Linked DNA regions of Medicago truncatula. The protein of the gene in region 2 interacts with the protein of the main gene of each other region in a pairwise test. Links are inferred from orthologs where the notes say so. Each region holds a gene or a part of one and is shown on either strand. Other genes may lie near its edges.

What was found.
Region 1: the proteins of transcription factor TCP15 (region 2) and protein TRANSPORT INHIBITOR RESPONSE 1 interact in binary tests that used the Arabidopsis thaliana proteins (3 or more experiments, as listed by UniProt). The link is inferred for Medicago truncatula from reciprocal best matches to the Arabidopsis thaliana genes TCP14 and TIR1.

The regions. Positions count from the first base shown.
Region 1 is NC_053042.1:43,739,927-43,748,349, reverse strand, and holds protein TRANSPORT INHIBITOR RESPONSE 1, read left to right. Parts: upstream 1-4,904; 5' UTR 4,905-5,081; coding exon 5,082-5,563; intron 5,564-6,293; coding exon 6,294-6,786; intron 6,787-6,902; coding exon 6,903-7,697; 3' UTR 7,698-8,120; downstream 8,121-8,423. UniProt on the Arabidopsis thaliana protein: Auxin receptor that mediates Aux/IAA proteins proteasomal degradation and auxin-regulated transcription.
Region 2 is NC_053045.1:52,946,919-52,955,189, forward strand, and holds transcription factor TCP15, read right to left. Parts: upstream 2,894-8,271; 5' UTR 2,456-2,893; coding exon 1,142-2,455; 3' UTR 734-1,141; downstream 1-733. UniProt on the Arabidopsis thaliana protein: Transcription factor involved the regulation of plant development. Binds to the Up1 elements (5'-GGCCCAWW-3') in early light-induced proteins (ELIPs, e.g.

The DNA of each region.
Region 1 (8,423 bases), on a different chromosome or scaffold from region 2:
GTTTTAGGGACAAAAAATTTATCTAACATTTCATTATTAAATGTTTGGATCTTACTAACTTGTGCTTGTGCTCTAAAGGCACGTAATAAGGATTTCAAAAGGAGAAATTTTGTATTGATATAACACAATTTTTTAAATTTTAAAAGGGAAATGTTAACCGGCGCACTCGGGGCACTGATTAAGGATATAAAAAGGGAAATTATATACTAGTTAATGCATTGAAATTGTGTGATTAATTTATAAAAAAGATCCCATAAAAAAAGGGTCTTGTTAACGAGTGCCCCCGGGACACTCTTTAAGCATGCTAAATTAGGAAGTTATTATTTAAAAAAGTCAAACAATTCAATTTTTAATATATTATTAAATACATAGATTTTCATAAAAAATTACTATCGTAGGCTCTTAAAGAGTATTTGAAGGCATTCGTTAGCATTTCTTTAAAAAAAAATAAAAAAATGATAGCTGGCTCATTCATACTCTACTCATAGCATACGGTAAATAATGGAATTGATGATTAGAAGATGTGCTATAATCAATCCATTTCATTACTTTGGTCTTTTGGGAAGATAGGTCGATTGTGTGAGTTAATGAGTTTGATATAACTGTTGTGGAAACAAATATCTATCTCATTGTCAGAAATTAGAATGAAAACAGTCACATAGGATTGGACGGCTATGTATGTTGTCATCATTTCCATTTACCCCCACTCATAATTCATTCATCTATAAACCAGTCGTCCATTACCATTTTGATTTTTGAGAGCACTGTTGTTTTACCCAACATAATAAGAGATCACAATTTTCAATTGTTTAAATTGATGAAATACTTTCCTTAAAACTCTGATTACAAAGATTTATTTTTAAGAATTATTAGTATTAAGCTATTGTTATTTCACGGAGTTTATAAAATATTCCGAGATTAATTGATGCTGCTACTATATAGTTATTTTGATTTTTTTTGTCTGTACATGATAAATGTTTAACCGATTCCTCTAGGATACCGGATAAAAAAATAAGAGTTAATATGTCTTTATCCCTGTAATTTGGGCGAGTTTCGATTTATCTTGTAAAAAAAATTTATATTCTAACTCTGTAATTTAAGATTTTCTCGTTTTAGACCATGAGGCCAAATAACTGAACAAAATGCTGACGCGGCATGCTGAGTAGCGCGCTAATTGACGATATCTGATTATATGGCATGTTGACTGTATAATTAATTATGTTTTAATTTTTTTAGGGCACACATGGCATTTTGCCTATTTTTTTTAAAAAAAAAAACTGAAAATTAATTTTTGAAAATAAAAAAATCGTGAAAAAACTGAATTTTCTAAAAAAAATTTAAAAATTCTGGAATTGAAATTAAAAAAATATTCAGATTTTTTTCAAAATAAAAAAAATTAAAATTTTTTCTACCAATTTTTTTTTTAAAATATGAATATAATTTTTTTATAATTCAGATTAAAATATGAAATAAAATTTTGAAAATTATATAATCTGAAAAAAGATCGATTTTATTTTAATTTTTAAAATCTTAATTTCAAATTTTTTTTTTTTTTTGAAAATAAATCTGAATTTGGTTCTGATTTTTCGAATTTTAAAAATTTAAAAAAATAAATTCTGATTTTTTCAATTTTGAAAAAAATAAACTGAATTTTTTTCTATTTTTAAAATTAATTTTCAGTTTTTTTTTTATTTTTGAATTGATATAAATGGAAATAAAAAAATTTAAAACAAAATTAGCTTATATAATCAGCGCGCCACATCATCCAAAAATGTTAACTTAGCGTGCCACGTCATCATGTTTGCACAGTCAAATGGTCTCAGGATCTAAAACGAAAGAATCTTCAAATTATAGGGTCTATTTCAAAAGAATCTTTAAATAACATTGTTGAAAGCTAAACTTTTTTTTTACAGAGAGTAAACCGAAACTCGCCTAAATTACAGGGGTAAAGACACATTAACCCAAAAACAAATATATAAGTATGGTATTGAAAAGTGTAGAAAAGTTGTATATTGACTTTTTAAATAAAGTAGAAAGTGTAAACGAATATGATTTTTTTTAGAGGCCAAAATGGAATATCCTAACCAAACTAAATAAATTTTTCCAGCATAAAATATGTCAGAAACAGACTTAAAGAAAGTTTACAATATGTTATAACACGAAACAAACTTCAAAAAGAGACACAAGACAAGTAACAAGCTAAGAACATGAAGACAACACATATGAAGAGAATTAAGCCGTCAGCCGTGATACACAAACACGAAAGTTGCATATCTTGCTTTCAACCACCAGAAAGACTGATACTTGATTTTGTCACATAACACGTGCAAGCTCTCTTGCTTGTGCTGAAAATTTTGCTTGTTCCTTTCTTTCCAAATAACTTAGACTCATGAGAGCCAAATAAGGTTAAGAGCTAAACTTACTTTCTTTGAGGACCTACCTAAATCTTAAAATTGCAAAAGCTTGATCCAAAAGATAGCCCAGATTTACTGTAACAAATATAAGCTAATCTGAAATGAAGGACCAAATTATGCCAAAAGGTTCACATATAATGAATAAGTGATCCATACAACAGCAAAACTCGCTTTCTTTAGACACGGGGGGCCGGATATAAAAAAAATTATATTGAATGTTGTCTTGATATTTTTATCGTTAATAAGCCTTTTCTTGTTGTTAACTAAGAGATCAAAAGTGTAAAAGTAACGCGAAATACATCTATGAAACTAGTAGATATCTATTAATGTTTTTGTTTCTATTAATTTTTGACAAATAAACTCATTTGTAGTAACTAATTATATATTATCAGGGTAGTTAATTGCTTAATATATCCACTTTATTCAAATACAAAATTATTATTTGGTGTAGCCAAAGCTACCCCATTCCAACACAAGGCTTCGCCCCTGGATCCATATCTTCATTCACATCGCCGCCTCCCACACACTGTTGATCATTACCTTTAAGCACATCCCTTATGAGTAAATCACCTTTGATAGAGAATATGATTTAGAAGAAGATGTCGTGCGAAGAGATTAACTTTGAGAGGAACCAAATTATACGAAAGAACATTTGAGGAATGTGTTGGATTGTCATGATTCACAAAAGTAAAAAATTGATGAGCACCACTAGGAAGTAACATTTGGATAATGTAATAGCCAAACCCATTTGTCCGTCGTACCATCTTGCAAAACAATAAAATTTATTAGCTCACTACACTCCCTCGTCTAACCCTCCTCCCACGTCAACAACTACCTACTCCACTTTCACGTCTCTCCTTCCACTCCCCAACCTAATGAATTCATTTATGAAACAATCACTAGTTTAATTTCAGATAAATCATACAACCTTCTGAACCCAACCTTTAACGTCCCTCCTTCTAACCATAAATCTTGCTAAAATAGTGCAGCGGATCCATTACGTCCTATGTTATCGTCTAACCAACCCACCACCACACACACACACACAATATAATCGACCCCCTTTCTATTTGTAACAGGTCACTAACATCCTATACCACAAATTGTCCTTTTTCTACACATTAATCTCCCTTTATCTTCTAACCCCTAATCCAATCTTTTTGTTATTTAAACAGATTAAGTTCCACCTTTTCTCTGTCTTTGGATTTTGGCATCGGGTTATTGGTGGATCGAGTTTTTGGACAGGTTTAGGTGTATGCTCTGGTGGTTCGTGAGTTGAGGGGTGCTTTTTTGACTTGTGTCGTGAGTCTTGTGGAGGTGTATGCTTTGGACAGGTTTAGGTGTACGCTCTGGTGGTTCGTGACTTTTTTGACAGGTTTAGACCGATAGTAAGGACGTGACATACTTTAAGAGAACTAGACGATCATCTAAACTGACATTTGCATCGGTAGTTATCATAAAACAAGATAAAAGAAATATTGAATAAGTGTATGAAATTTATAGATGTTAAAATATAAAAGCTGTGCGATCAAATCACATTAAAGCGATGTTTTCTTACTCACATTAAAATGATGTTGATTCCAATATCATTGTTCATAAATATCTAAAGCATAAAATTTGATTAAATAAATGCATAACGATTTCATAAAAAATAAAAATTACTTAAAAAATGTCTAAATTCTTTTAGACAGTTTAAACACAAATTATATAATGGGTATGAAAAGATTCTACTTTTATAGTATAATTTACCGTCCTAAACCTCACAGTCATTGACTTTTTGTTGTGTATGGTAATTTTTCACGAAACAAAGTTGTGTTGTCGACAAAGACGACCTTCTAGTTTTTTTTTTGAAATTTTGTTAAGTCAATATAATAATATTTAGTTTCTAATATAACTCTATGTAAATTATTATTAGTAAAAAGGTAGTATTACGTCAAGAAGTGTTTAGCTGACAAGACTGAACGCGTGATTCATATTCGAATCCAGGACCTTACAATTATATGTAAGTTTATTTTTAATGGATCATCACTTCATCTAAGACAATAAAGAAGTAGTTTTACATTTTACGCACATACCAGTATTTTTTTTTTTGTGCGAATAATTTAGTAAATACTACCGGTAAGACTATTTATTTTTGCTGGATTACTACCAATAGTAATACAACCTTAATCCTACCAAAAAAGATGCGGTCCCCACTCACAATTCATCTCGAAAGATAAAATCAAACCATGTAATAACAATCATAAGATTCTCTTCCACACACATTAGAGTTTACAGTACTCACTCATAACTCATAATAAAACCCCATCAAAACCACCACATCCTCACCGTCCATTCCTCTCAAATCTTCAACAAATAATCCAACGGTTCAAACTCACTCATCACTTATCTCCACGCGTCTCCACCACAATCACCAATCACAGAATCCCCTTCACTCCCACCACACGACAACACCTATTTAACCATAGTTACTTTCTAACCTCACCACCGTGTGTGTATGTGTTTACAAGTACAATCACAACACAAACTCCTTATCCTCTCTCTCTCTATCTCTCTCTCTCCTCAAGCACTCTTCAATGGCGACTCAGATCTAACTCATCAAAATCCTCTTCGTACATTTTCGTACCACAACATTCTAGATTCTTCTTCATTCTTCCCACCATCGTCATGCAGCAGCAGCAGAAAGTAGCAGCGTTATCGTACTCATTCCCCGAAGAAGTTCTCGAACATGTCTTCTCATTCATCGACTCAACCAAAGACAGAGGCTCGATCTCTTTAGTATGCAAGTCATGGTACGAGATCGAACGCTGGTGTCGCCGGAGAGTCTTCGTCGGAAACTGTTACGCTATCACACCGGCGATGGTGATAAAACGGTTTCCGAAGGTGAGATCTATTACGCTGAAGGGGAAGCCGCACTTTGCGGATTTCAATTTGGTGCCGGAAGGTTGGGGTGGGTACGTGTGTCCGTGGATCAAAGCTATGGCGGTTGCGTTTCCGTGTTTGGAAGAGATTAAGCTTAAGAGAATGGTGATTAGTGATGATTGTTTGGATTTGATTGCTAAATCGTTTAAGAATTTCAAGGTTTTGGTTCTTATTTCTTGTGAAGGTTTCACTACTGATGGACTTGCTTCCATTGCCGCCAATTGCAGGTTTATTTCCAATTTCTCTCTCATTTTTTATTATTTTTTTTATTTTTAATTTTATTGGATTTAATTTAACTGAAATGAATTCAAAACTATGCTTGCACTATGATGAGTGAAATTAAGAATCCAGAATTGTACTTTGGTAATATACCTTTTTAATAAGGACCTACTTAGGAAATTCAAGTTTTTAGCAATTATAAAGGTATATTTGGTTTTAGTGCTGGAAAATTGTATACTTGTTTTTTGTGAGTTTTTATTGAGACAAGTAAATGTGAATCTGGTAGGATAATTAACTTCATTTTTGTCTGATTTAGGGTCTGTTTGGATTGACTTAGTTGAGCTTATATAATAACATAAGTTAAGTTTTGTGAGAATGGATGGGAGGACTTATGAAAACAATTGTTTATAAACTGATTTTATAAATAAACTGCTTATAGCTTAAAACAGCTTGACTTTATTTTATACTTAAGCGTGCCATTATCATGATAAGCTTGTATAGTATAAGCTGCAAATAAGTTGTTTATCCAAACTGGGCCTAATTGTTTTATGAATGCTAGGGTGCATTTAAAATGTTAAATATGTAAAGGTAAATTTTGGGCTATTGTCTTGTGATGATGAAGGTGGTGTGGAGTCTAAATTTGAAGGTTTGGTCTAGTAAAAAAGATTATGGTTTATGAACTGTTGTGCCTGTTTAAACGTGTCATTGACAAATCTACTGTGTTAATGGTAATTGTAGGAATTTGAGGGAGTTGGACCTGCGGGAGAGTGAAGTGGAGGACATTTGTGGTCATTGGCTAAGCCATTTTCCTGATTCATACACATCCTTGGTTTCTCTGAACATCTCTTGCCTAGCAAACGAGGTGAATTTTCCTGCGCTAGAGCGCCTGGTTAGTAGGTGTCCTAACATGCATACTCTCCGCCTCAATCGTGCTGCACCCCTTGATAAGCTTGCAAACCTTCTCCGTGGGGCTCCACAGCTGGTTGAGTTAGGCACTGGAGCCTACACATCCGAGATGCGGCCGGAGGTCTTTACAAACCTGGCTGCAGCATTTTCTGGGTGCAAGCAAATGAAGGGCTTGTCTGGCTTTTGGGACGTGCTCCCATCATATCTTCCTGCTGTCTATCCTGTATGCTCCAGGCTCACATCACTGAACTTGAGTTATGCTACAATCCAAAGCCCGGATCTTATCAAGCTTGTGGGTCAATGCCAGAGTTTGCAGCGCTTATGGGTATGTCTGGTTTATGTAATGTTTTCAATTAATGCATGGGTATCTTCATATGTTGGTTCACTATACCAAAATTGAAATGTAAATGCTTGCTGATTAAGGTTATTACTAATATGTAGGTTCTGGATTACATAGAAGATGCTGGCCTTGACATGCTTGCTGCATCGTGTAAGGATCTGAGGGAGTTGAGGGTGTTTCCCTCTGACCCATTTGGGTTGGAAGCAAATGTAGCGTTGACAGAGCAGGGCCTTGTTTCTGTGTCTGAAGGTTGCCCCAAGCTCCATTCAGTCCTATATTTTTGTCGTCAAATGACCAATGCTGCCTTAAACACAATAGCTCGGAACAGGCCTAATATGACTCGTTTTAGATTATGTATTATTGAGCCTCGAACTCCTGACTATCTCACCCTTCAATCTCTGGATTCTGGTTTTGGAGCTATTGTTGAACATTGTAAGGATCTTCAGCGCCTTTCCCTTTCAGGGCTTCTCACAGACCGTGTTTTTGAGCATATTGGGACTTATGCGAAGAAGCTTGAGATGCTTTCTGTGGCTTTTGCTGGAGATAGTGATCTGGGACTCCATCACGTGCTGTCTGGGTGTGACAACCTTAGGAAGCTGGAGATCAGGGACTGCCCCTTTGGTGACAAAGCTCTTTTAGCCAACGCTGCAAAGTTGGAGACAATGCGATCCCTTTGGATGTCCTCTTGCTCAGTGAGTTATGGAGCATGTAAACTGTTGGGTCAGAAGTTGCCTAGGCTCAATGTTGAAGTCATTGATGAAAGAGGACCTCCAAATTTAAGGCCAGATAGTAATCCTGTGGAGAAACTATATATATACAGGACTATTTCTGGGCCTAGATTGGACATGCCTGGTTATGTATGGACAATGGAAGATGATTCTGCATATCTTGAATGACTGTACTCCTCAATAATGAACATTTGATGTGTGACTTGGTGATGGCAGGTACAGGCTCAACGTACCCTACAATGAATTTAATCTGTTGACCGTCCTATGCTGCTGTTATGGTTGGTTTCTGAGCTAGGTACAGCAAGGAGGTTATACAGTGTACTTAGAAAGCTTGAGCTCGATTGCCATTCAATTTTTACTTTTGGCTGAGCGACTAGATACCGATTCTGATCACAAATAAAACCGGAAATTTGTTGTTGTATGTGGCATAAGATTGAGTTGTTAAAACTTGTTATATAATTTATTTTCGCCTTTTTATTTCAAGGACTTCTGCATAATTTTTATGCATGATACTTTGGTCGAGTATTAAGATATTGGTGGGCTCATTGTTATTATTGACCTTTGCAAAGGAATAAAATCTGTATTCTAGTACATCATTGTTTGTTGTTTGCAATATTGATTATTTCATGTAATTATGCCCTGGCTTCAACGCATGTGAACAAATGAATGACTCTGCTAGGGAGAAGGTTTTTGAGTTCAATGGAAAAATTCGAGATATTTCAACTGTTTTATCATCTGTAGCTTTGGCTGTGTGCCTGTTGTTAATCAAAATGGACGTTTTAGGCTCGTTCTCTTCACTAATTGAAGTAGTCTTATATTAATTTCAAAAAACCCTGTATTCTGTCTGTTATTGAACTGCGTCAAAGCTTCCTAGACTTTTTCTTTCTTGTGAAT
Region 2 (8,271 bases):
TGGAATGGTGGGCCGTATCTGAGTAGGGTCATTAAGACTCACCATGGATCTTTCTTTCTGTGATGCCAGCAACTGCTCCATTTAATTTAAAAATTGAAATTTTAAAAAAAAGAACACAGAAGATGGGGAATGATCCACCTGTTTGTCAGTGACATTGTACATTGGTTTGGGCAATAACCAGCAGCTATACCCCACCACCTGAGCCAACACCTGGAAACCGATAAGGTCTTAGACCCCACTTACGTACTATTCCATATTACCCCCCCCCATCCCATCTTTCTTTTACTAAATCTTAATCATTGATGCAGTAAACCTCCTGATTCATGTCACACATTTAGTAGAATCAGAATGATCAAAAAGCAATGTAAATTTACATTATTTAACACACTTCACTTCACTTACTAATAGTAGTTCTAGTACATTTTTTTTTTTTATCTATAGTATAGTCTTAGGGTAACACACTGTTTCATTCCTTTTACCGCACGAGCTTTGTTGTGGCCCAGAAAGAGAGATGGAAAAAAAGAAAAGGAAAAGCATAAATGTTGAAAACAAAAATGCCTGTTAGGTAGGAAACTCAACTCAGCTAGTCGTGTAATGGAATCAAATCAAATAGTAGTAAGTCGTTTTCTTTCTTGGATCTCTCTTCAACATAGAATTATACAAAGCAATGTAATTAAAAAGCTAGCTACGTGGTAAAAAAAATTCAAAAAGAAAAAGTGAATTGCACAAACAATGATGATAAGATATCCTGTAGTAGCAGTAGTGAACTGAAATAATTCAAGGAACACATTTTTTTTTTTTGCCAGAGGAAAAGAACAAAAAAAGTAAAGCAGGCAGCCAAATACCCCAATTGTTAATTAAATAGTGACTCTCATCTTCCAAACCCTAAAATACTATCTTGTTTTCTCTTCACTTCTCCTGAATCATTCATTCTCTCTTCCAAAATCTTAATCACACCAAAAAATTAATTTTGGGAATAATAATAATAATAATTAATAAACAATAAAACTCAATTTAGAATAAGATCAAACAAACCTCACGTGTGTGTTAAAATTAAACACATCATCAAATCAAACTACTAGACAAGTAATGTAAGAAGAAGAAGAAGAAGCAGAAGATGATGATCTTGTAGGAGCTGTGATTAATTATCATGTCGATCATCGTGTTCATGGCTACCACTGCGATGATGATGTGATTGTGATCCACTTGGTTGATGGTGTTGTTGATGATGATCGGAAACCGGACGATAAGGACTAAGACCAGCAAGCATACTCAAATGTCCTTCATTCATATTCATATTCATATTGATATTCCCACCACCACCACCACCACCGGAAGAATTACCTAATTGTTGACCTGGTAACAAAGCCATAGGTTGTGGAAAATTCATAAAATGCAAACCACTAGTTGAAACTGCTCCTCTATACAAAGCAGCAGCACTATTATTCACTGACGGAAAAGTCCATATAGGATCACCACCACTCATTATTTGGTTATTAGAATTTGCAACCATCCATATATTTGCCGGAATCTGAGTATGACTTGCTGGAATTGAACCTGCACTTGATTGCATCAGATAACTCCCCATTTGATGTTGTAATGATGATAAATCTTGCTCACTGCCACCACTGCTAGTTCTTCTTTTTCTTCCTCCCATGGATTCTTCTCCACTTGTTTCAGATAAATCTAACGTGGTTGATGAAGAAGGAGCGTTCGCGTTAGCGTTTGAGTTTGTGTTTCCATCTCGAACCTCTTGTTTAGCCTGCAACATATTTGTTAGGTTATTTGATTGGAAATTCAAAAGCATTGAAGTGTTGTTGTTGCTGTTGTTATCTGAAGGAGATAAACCAATTCCAGGAAAAAGAGTTCTTCGTTGTTGAAGTGAGAAATTCGGGTTGAAGTAAGAAGATCTTAGCTGAGATGGAACAGACATGGATGAGCCTGAGCTACGAAGTGAGATATTGAGAGATGTGAAGTTAGCAGGTATAGTTCCAGTACCAGTGGCGGCTATAACAGCTGGTTCAGCTTGTTGAAGAAGCCATTCAATGGTTTCACCATCAGATTTATGGCCAAGTTCGCGTGTAAGCTGAAAAACTCTAGCAGCACAAAGTGCCGGCATTCGGATGCGGCGGCCACGGCCTTCTACTTTGGTATGACGGTCTTTGGTGGAAGTTCTTTTCGGAGGAGGTTTTTTGTTGGCAGGGTCAGAGGTTGTTGGTGTTGATGCTGGGACTAGTTGGTTGGATCGGTTTGAATTTGATGTACTTGGTTCTGTTGGTGAGATTGCTAGGGATGGATATGGAGAAGAAGTTGAACATGATGCTGCTTCTTGGTTATCTTCTTTCTTCTCAAGAAGTTGAAATGGAAAATTTTGTCTTTGTTGTTGTTGGTGTTGGTGGTGGTGTTGATGGTGCTGGTGGTGGTGATGGTGGTGGAGATCATCTCCTCCATCCATGATCGCATGGATAGTAAAAAAAAATAAAAAAAATAAAAGTGAGTTTGATATATGAATATGAGAGAGACTTGTGTTGTTGTGTATGATAAGTGAGGTTATAGTAGTTTAATATGTATGGTGGGTCTTTGTTCTCATTTTGAGGGGGAGATATGGGTGTGTTGTTATATTTGTTACTTTGTTTAGGTAAATGAAGGAATTTGCTTTGGAATTGATGTGGTTAAGTTTAAGAGTAGAGAGAGAGAGAGAGAGATAGTGAGAGATGAGATAAGGAGGAGAAGAGCTTTAAGCAACAAAGATAATGAGTGGGAATTATATGGGTGAGCTTTAAAAAGCATGATTTTTTCCAGAAAAGAAATTGCTTTCTTGAGTTGTGGTGTTCATGAGCTTTTTCATTATAACTGATGAGTGGGATTTATTTATTTTTTATATTTTTAATGAAGATATTTTTAGATTTTAATCATTCTGCTTGTATGGAAAGATGAAGATTTAAGCTGGAAGTAGAAAAAAATCTAATATTTTTTTTGTTTGAATTTAATTTAATTTTGTGTGATGGAAGGAAGAGAGTAGAGTAGTATTGTGTTGTTCCCTTTTGATTATGGTTGGACAGCGTCTTTGGTTCAGACTCCACGTGAGGTGCTCTTTTTATCATTCAATCCATAAAGACAATGGTGGCCAAAGTGGGACCCGATCCCAAGTCAAAAAAAAATAAAATTGAAAGACCTGGAAAGGAAATATTATCAATTGGGTCCCATCTCATTCATGTAATCATTTCATTTTGCCTTTTCTTCTTCACCTTTGCTCTTCAACTTTGCCCCTTTGCTTTTCCTTCTTCTCTCAATACATGGACCTAATTAGAGAGCGTTTACATTTTGTTTTGCTTAGTTTATTTCACATCAACTATACATTCTTCTAATGTAATTACAAACATCTTGGTCCCTAACCAACCATATTTATAGTACTGTATCCCTTCGAGTATCCAAAATTAGATTCCTGTTTATCACTTTAATTTACTCTCTAAGGATGTTTCGTGGTCAATAATTATCAAATACCTATTACAAGTCATTCAAAGTTTTAATTAAATTGCATATTTGCATACATATACATATCCCATTACACGACCAAACCTCTCAATCAATTTCTCCTTTTTTTCAATTTAACAATCAAATCAACCAAATAGCATTTTTCCACTTTTAAGTAAATTTAATACCACTAAGTGTATAAGATATCAAAAGGGTTACGTTTTAAAATTTCAATTGTGGAAAATGACAAGATAATATACATATAAGGTATTTTAGAGGTACTCAAAAATAGATGCTATTGGGAGTTATCTTCTACAGACTTAGGACCACAAAGTAGCACATGGAAATGGATCTAAATCCTTGTAAAGTTTCAGAGAGAACAAGCAGTCACTATGTGTTGTTTATAAGGGAAGTCTATTTCAACATTTTTATTGGTTAGAATTCGATTGAATCCTCATGAGTTTTTTCCTTTACTTGAAGTTGAGGCTGACACTGTTCCTTTTCAGCTCATGTGAGCAAATTAAATTAACTACACAGAAACCAATTTCATTTTCTTTGCATTTAAGAAGAGGCTATCTATATAGTTTCTTATTATAGAACTTTTTTTTTTTTTTTTGAGACCCTATTCTCATAGAACTAAACTAGCTCATAATAATAACAATTAAATTGACAGTTCGATTGATATTATTTGTGACATATATATGTAATGGAAACAAATAAGGCTAGCAAAAATGCTAGCTTTCCTTGTATTGAACAAGACATTGAATTATCAATTGTAGGAGAAAAATTTATCAGTTGTACTTTTAGTTAGTCTTAAATACAGTGAAGTTGCTTCTGTTTTTATCACATGCAAGGGCAATGCAGGCATAACGACAAACGTACAACACCTTCCCTAGCAGAAAATAGGTCAATTTTCCTTTCTGAATTAATTGTATATAGTATCATATCATCAAATATAAATTATTGAGACCGTATAGCTGTAAAAGTAAACAAGGATAACAAATTCAACGCAAAATCCTATTTACCGATGTATACATTTTGCTTTTCACCTTAATTTGTCATTATATAATCCAAATTCTTTGACATAATGCAACTAGGGATTAAAATATATTGTAAGAATTGAAGATCCCTATTAATATTTTATTAAGAGCTAATCACAGAAATTTGTAATCAACTAGGTTACATATAAAGATAATAAACATTCTTATTATTGGCAACTTTAAAACAATATTGAAAATCGACATCCTACCTACTCTATAATTTTTATTTGTTTTTTTATAAAATAAAAAAATTCAATAAATGCACAACATAATTTCTATAAAAAAAAAAAAAGGGAAAATAATTTTAGGACACAATACAAAGTGCCCACGTGAGAGTCCTCAGGCTTTTACACCGCATATGTAAAAGCTCTTGTCGCCAAATTACATGCCAATAAAGGGAAAGACTAACATACCGACAGGTTGACAAATTTTCAAATGCTCTATTCAATCCTTGATAACGACTCTAAACTCAGTAGTAATATTTGATTATAGTCAAAATCAAACTTATATATATATTTATATATACTATTTAATTTCGATGAAAGAAAAAATTAAGCTCACCACTAGGAAGAAAATATGATAAATATACTTCCTTAAACTTATAACATTTCCTTATTTTTTTATTGTGTGAGGGTGATCCTAATGTAAACTAAATATTTGTTACATAATTATTTACCGCAAATTCATTCAACATCTTAAGAGAGAAAGGAAAAAAAATGTGATTAAATAGATTTGATATGTTAGCAATATGATAAAAAGAGAGTGATAAAGAGAAAATTAAATCTTATATGAATGTTGAGAAAATTAAGGTGTTCAAGCATAATGATTCAGTAAAAATATGTAAACTAAATACAAATATTTACGATGGACACAAGAAATAAAGAGTAATGGTAGATGGACGTCCTACATAAGGGCACTCATTTGACACCCGATCATTGGTGGTGGTCGGTCAGCAATCCCACAATGATTGGAGGTGGAACTCTGGTGGTCTTACGGTGGTCAGCCGCTTCCCACTACTATTGGTATTATTAAATAGTTTTTCACAACATTATATTATATTTATCCAACTCTTTAACGAATTCACACTTTTTTTTATTTATTTAAACTCTATTTTATGTCAAATTAAATTATTCATTTCAATCACAAAAGAATAAAATTTAGTTTCATCAAAATAATGGCTTTTGTGCACTTCACCCTACATCAAAAATAGTAACTTCCCTTTCAAAGATAAAAAACTGTCACACATCTTTTTTGGAATAACACTGGTTTTCTTTCTTTCTTAACACTTTTTTTACACTTGACACTTTTTCTCTTAATCAAAAAACACTTCACCCCCACACCAAGAAAACTCTCTCTATATACTCAGAAACTTACTGACTTGTGTCTGCATCACTCAAGACCTTGCCTCCCTCTATATATATCTCAACACCTTTTTTATTATCATATTGTTTATAACCGATTTTTTTGTCTAAAGAAATTCAACAAAATTCAAAACACACTAATTGTTTTATTTTGTGCGACCGCAGAAGTTCGAACAAGTTAACAAGTAGACTCATAGGCTTGATGGTTGTTTTTGAAATAGGTTGAAATATCTCTAAATTAGATTTGGATTTTATGGTTGAAATAGGTTGAAAACGGTTTCAAGTCTAATTGCTAAAGAAAAAAAAAAGACTTGAATGAAAATGACGATCAAATTAAAAACAACTTGAAAGATAAAAGGCCAAGAAAGTAAATGAATTGAAATATAATGCTTTCGAAGGTAAAATTACTTAAAATATAAAGTATTATGAATTGAAATTAAAAAAAAAAAAGATTTAAAAGACCATGAAAGGTATACTTAAAGTTCAAAAAACTTGGAGTTTGTTTTTGGTTGGGAGTATGCTTCAAAAATTAAGTATTCAACCATAAAATTTGATCGTCATTTTCATTCAAAGTCTTTTTTTTTGTCATTGAAGTAGTAGTCACTCAGTAACTACCACTCCAATGACAAACTCGGTTGTAGTAGTTACTTTAGTGAGTTAGATAGATTGTGCGTTGTGGATCGACAAACACCTTAAATTTGCTCTTCGTCGGCTGATACTCTATCAAATTTAAGTCTTCATATATATAACATGTTCGGGAAAAGTACATTTTCTCCACTACTCTCATTAATAGGAAGTGCGATGAAGCTCGTCATGCTCTACAAATGTGTTTCGCAATTCAGAGTTTTTTCATATCCGTGATTATTGTTGCATCTTCTTGTATTTTCGTTCAAAACTTTGACTTTATGTTTACTCTTTGTCCATTTCAACAAACTAAAATTTCTCCAATAAACATACGATAAAAATTCTAAGAGAGCCGAAACACATTGTAATAAGTTATTGCTTGGGATTTGATAGTTTTCATGGAAACACTTTGTAATAAAAATTCTAACAGAGCCAGAACACAATTATCTATATTCAACAAGGGCCTAATAAAATTAAGAGGTGAAGTCCACCATTGAGTTCTATATATAATAACCTCGGGGAGGCTCCTAGAGTTCTGTATTTGTTAGAAACTCAAATAATTCTCTTTCAAAAAAAAAAAAAGAAACTCAAATAATTCAAAATGTACCTTATATTAATAATAATATAAAAATATATTTTGTTTGAATATATTATATATGTTTCATTCATGTTCACATGAACAATCAGTCTTTTGGTAAAACTTATTAACCATTTTACCTCAATAATTTGATTATAAAAGAATTTACTTTATATGCACTAAAAACCTAAAACAGTAAAATAAAAAAGCATTGTTCTTAAAGTATTTTTAATATATACAATTGTGTATGTCTTAAATAATTTATATATATACAATTATGTTCAAACAAATATTGCTCTTGAAGTATCCCTAAAAAAAAAAAAAAAAAAAAAAAAGCATTGCATTGAAGTGGAACAATATGTAATGTTGGTATTATGCCGAAGTAAAAATAAACGAAGGACACAAATATACTTGCTCTGTCCTGTCCACGAGGGCATGCCAGAGCTGCATTGCTGTGCAGAGAAGTGGACCATATACATATTAACTGCTTGCTACTACCTTTTTTCTAATACCACATACTACATGCCTTGCTACTTATATGTATGTCATGTTCAAATTGACACCTTACCCTTCTCAATATCTATATATAGACTCTTTTTATTTTTATTTATTTGATAAACTAAGAATATATACATGTGGATATATCTAGTGCCACATGAACTGTATTTTAATTTCCTGATTAATTGGACAAGGTATCTAGCAACCCAACATTATATATATTATATATATCAATCTCAGAGCTAGCTAGCTAGCAAGCTGCTCAGTCAATGCATGTTTGGTCCCACTTTAGTTCAATTTAGCAAAGTGCAACCGCTATCTATTTGAAAAGTATTTAACCTAAATTGAATCCAATCAAATATATTTATTTATATAAAAAGAAAATTCATGGTGAGTGAGGATATTGGATAGTGACGGTAGCTAGCTAGAGAAATCAATTGGTATTTATGTGTTTGGTGGTTGCTGTCATTCACACTTCAAAGTGGACGCGGATTCCACTATATACTTCTTTCTTTCTTTTTTTTCATGTCACCACAATTCCCCTCTAAACTCTAAAATATCTTTCACTCTTCTCTTCAATACTTTTAATTATCAACCCCCAGTATGCACTCATCTTCGCCTGAATTAACGAGACCTAATTAAATAATTTGTTACAATAACATGTGATTCACCTTTTTTTTTTTTTTAGGGTTTTTCC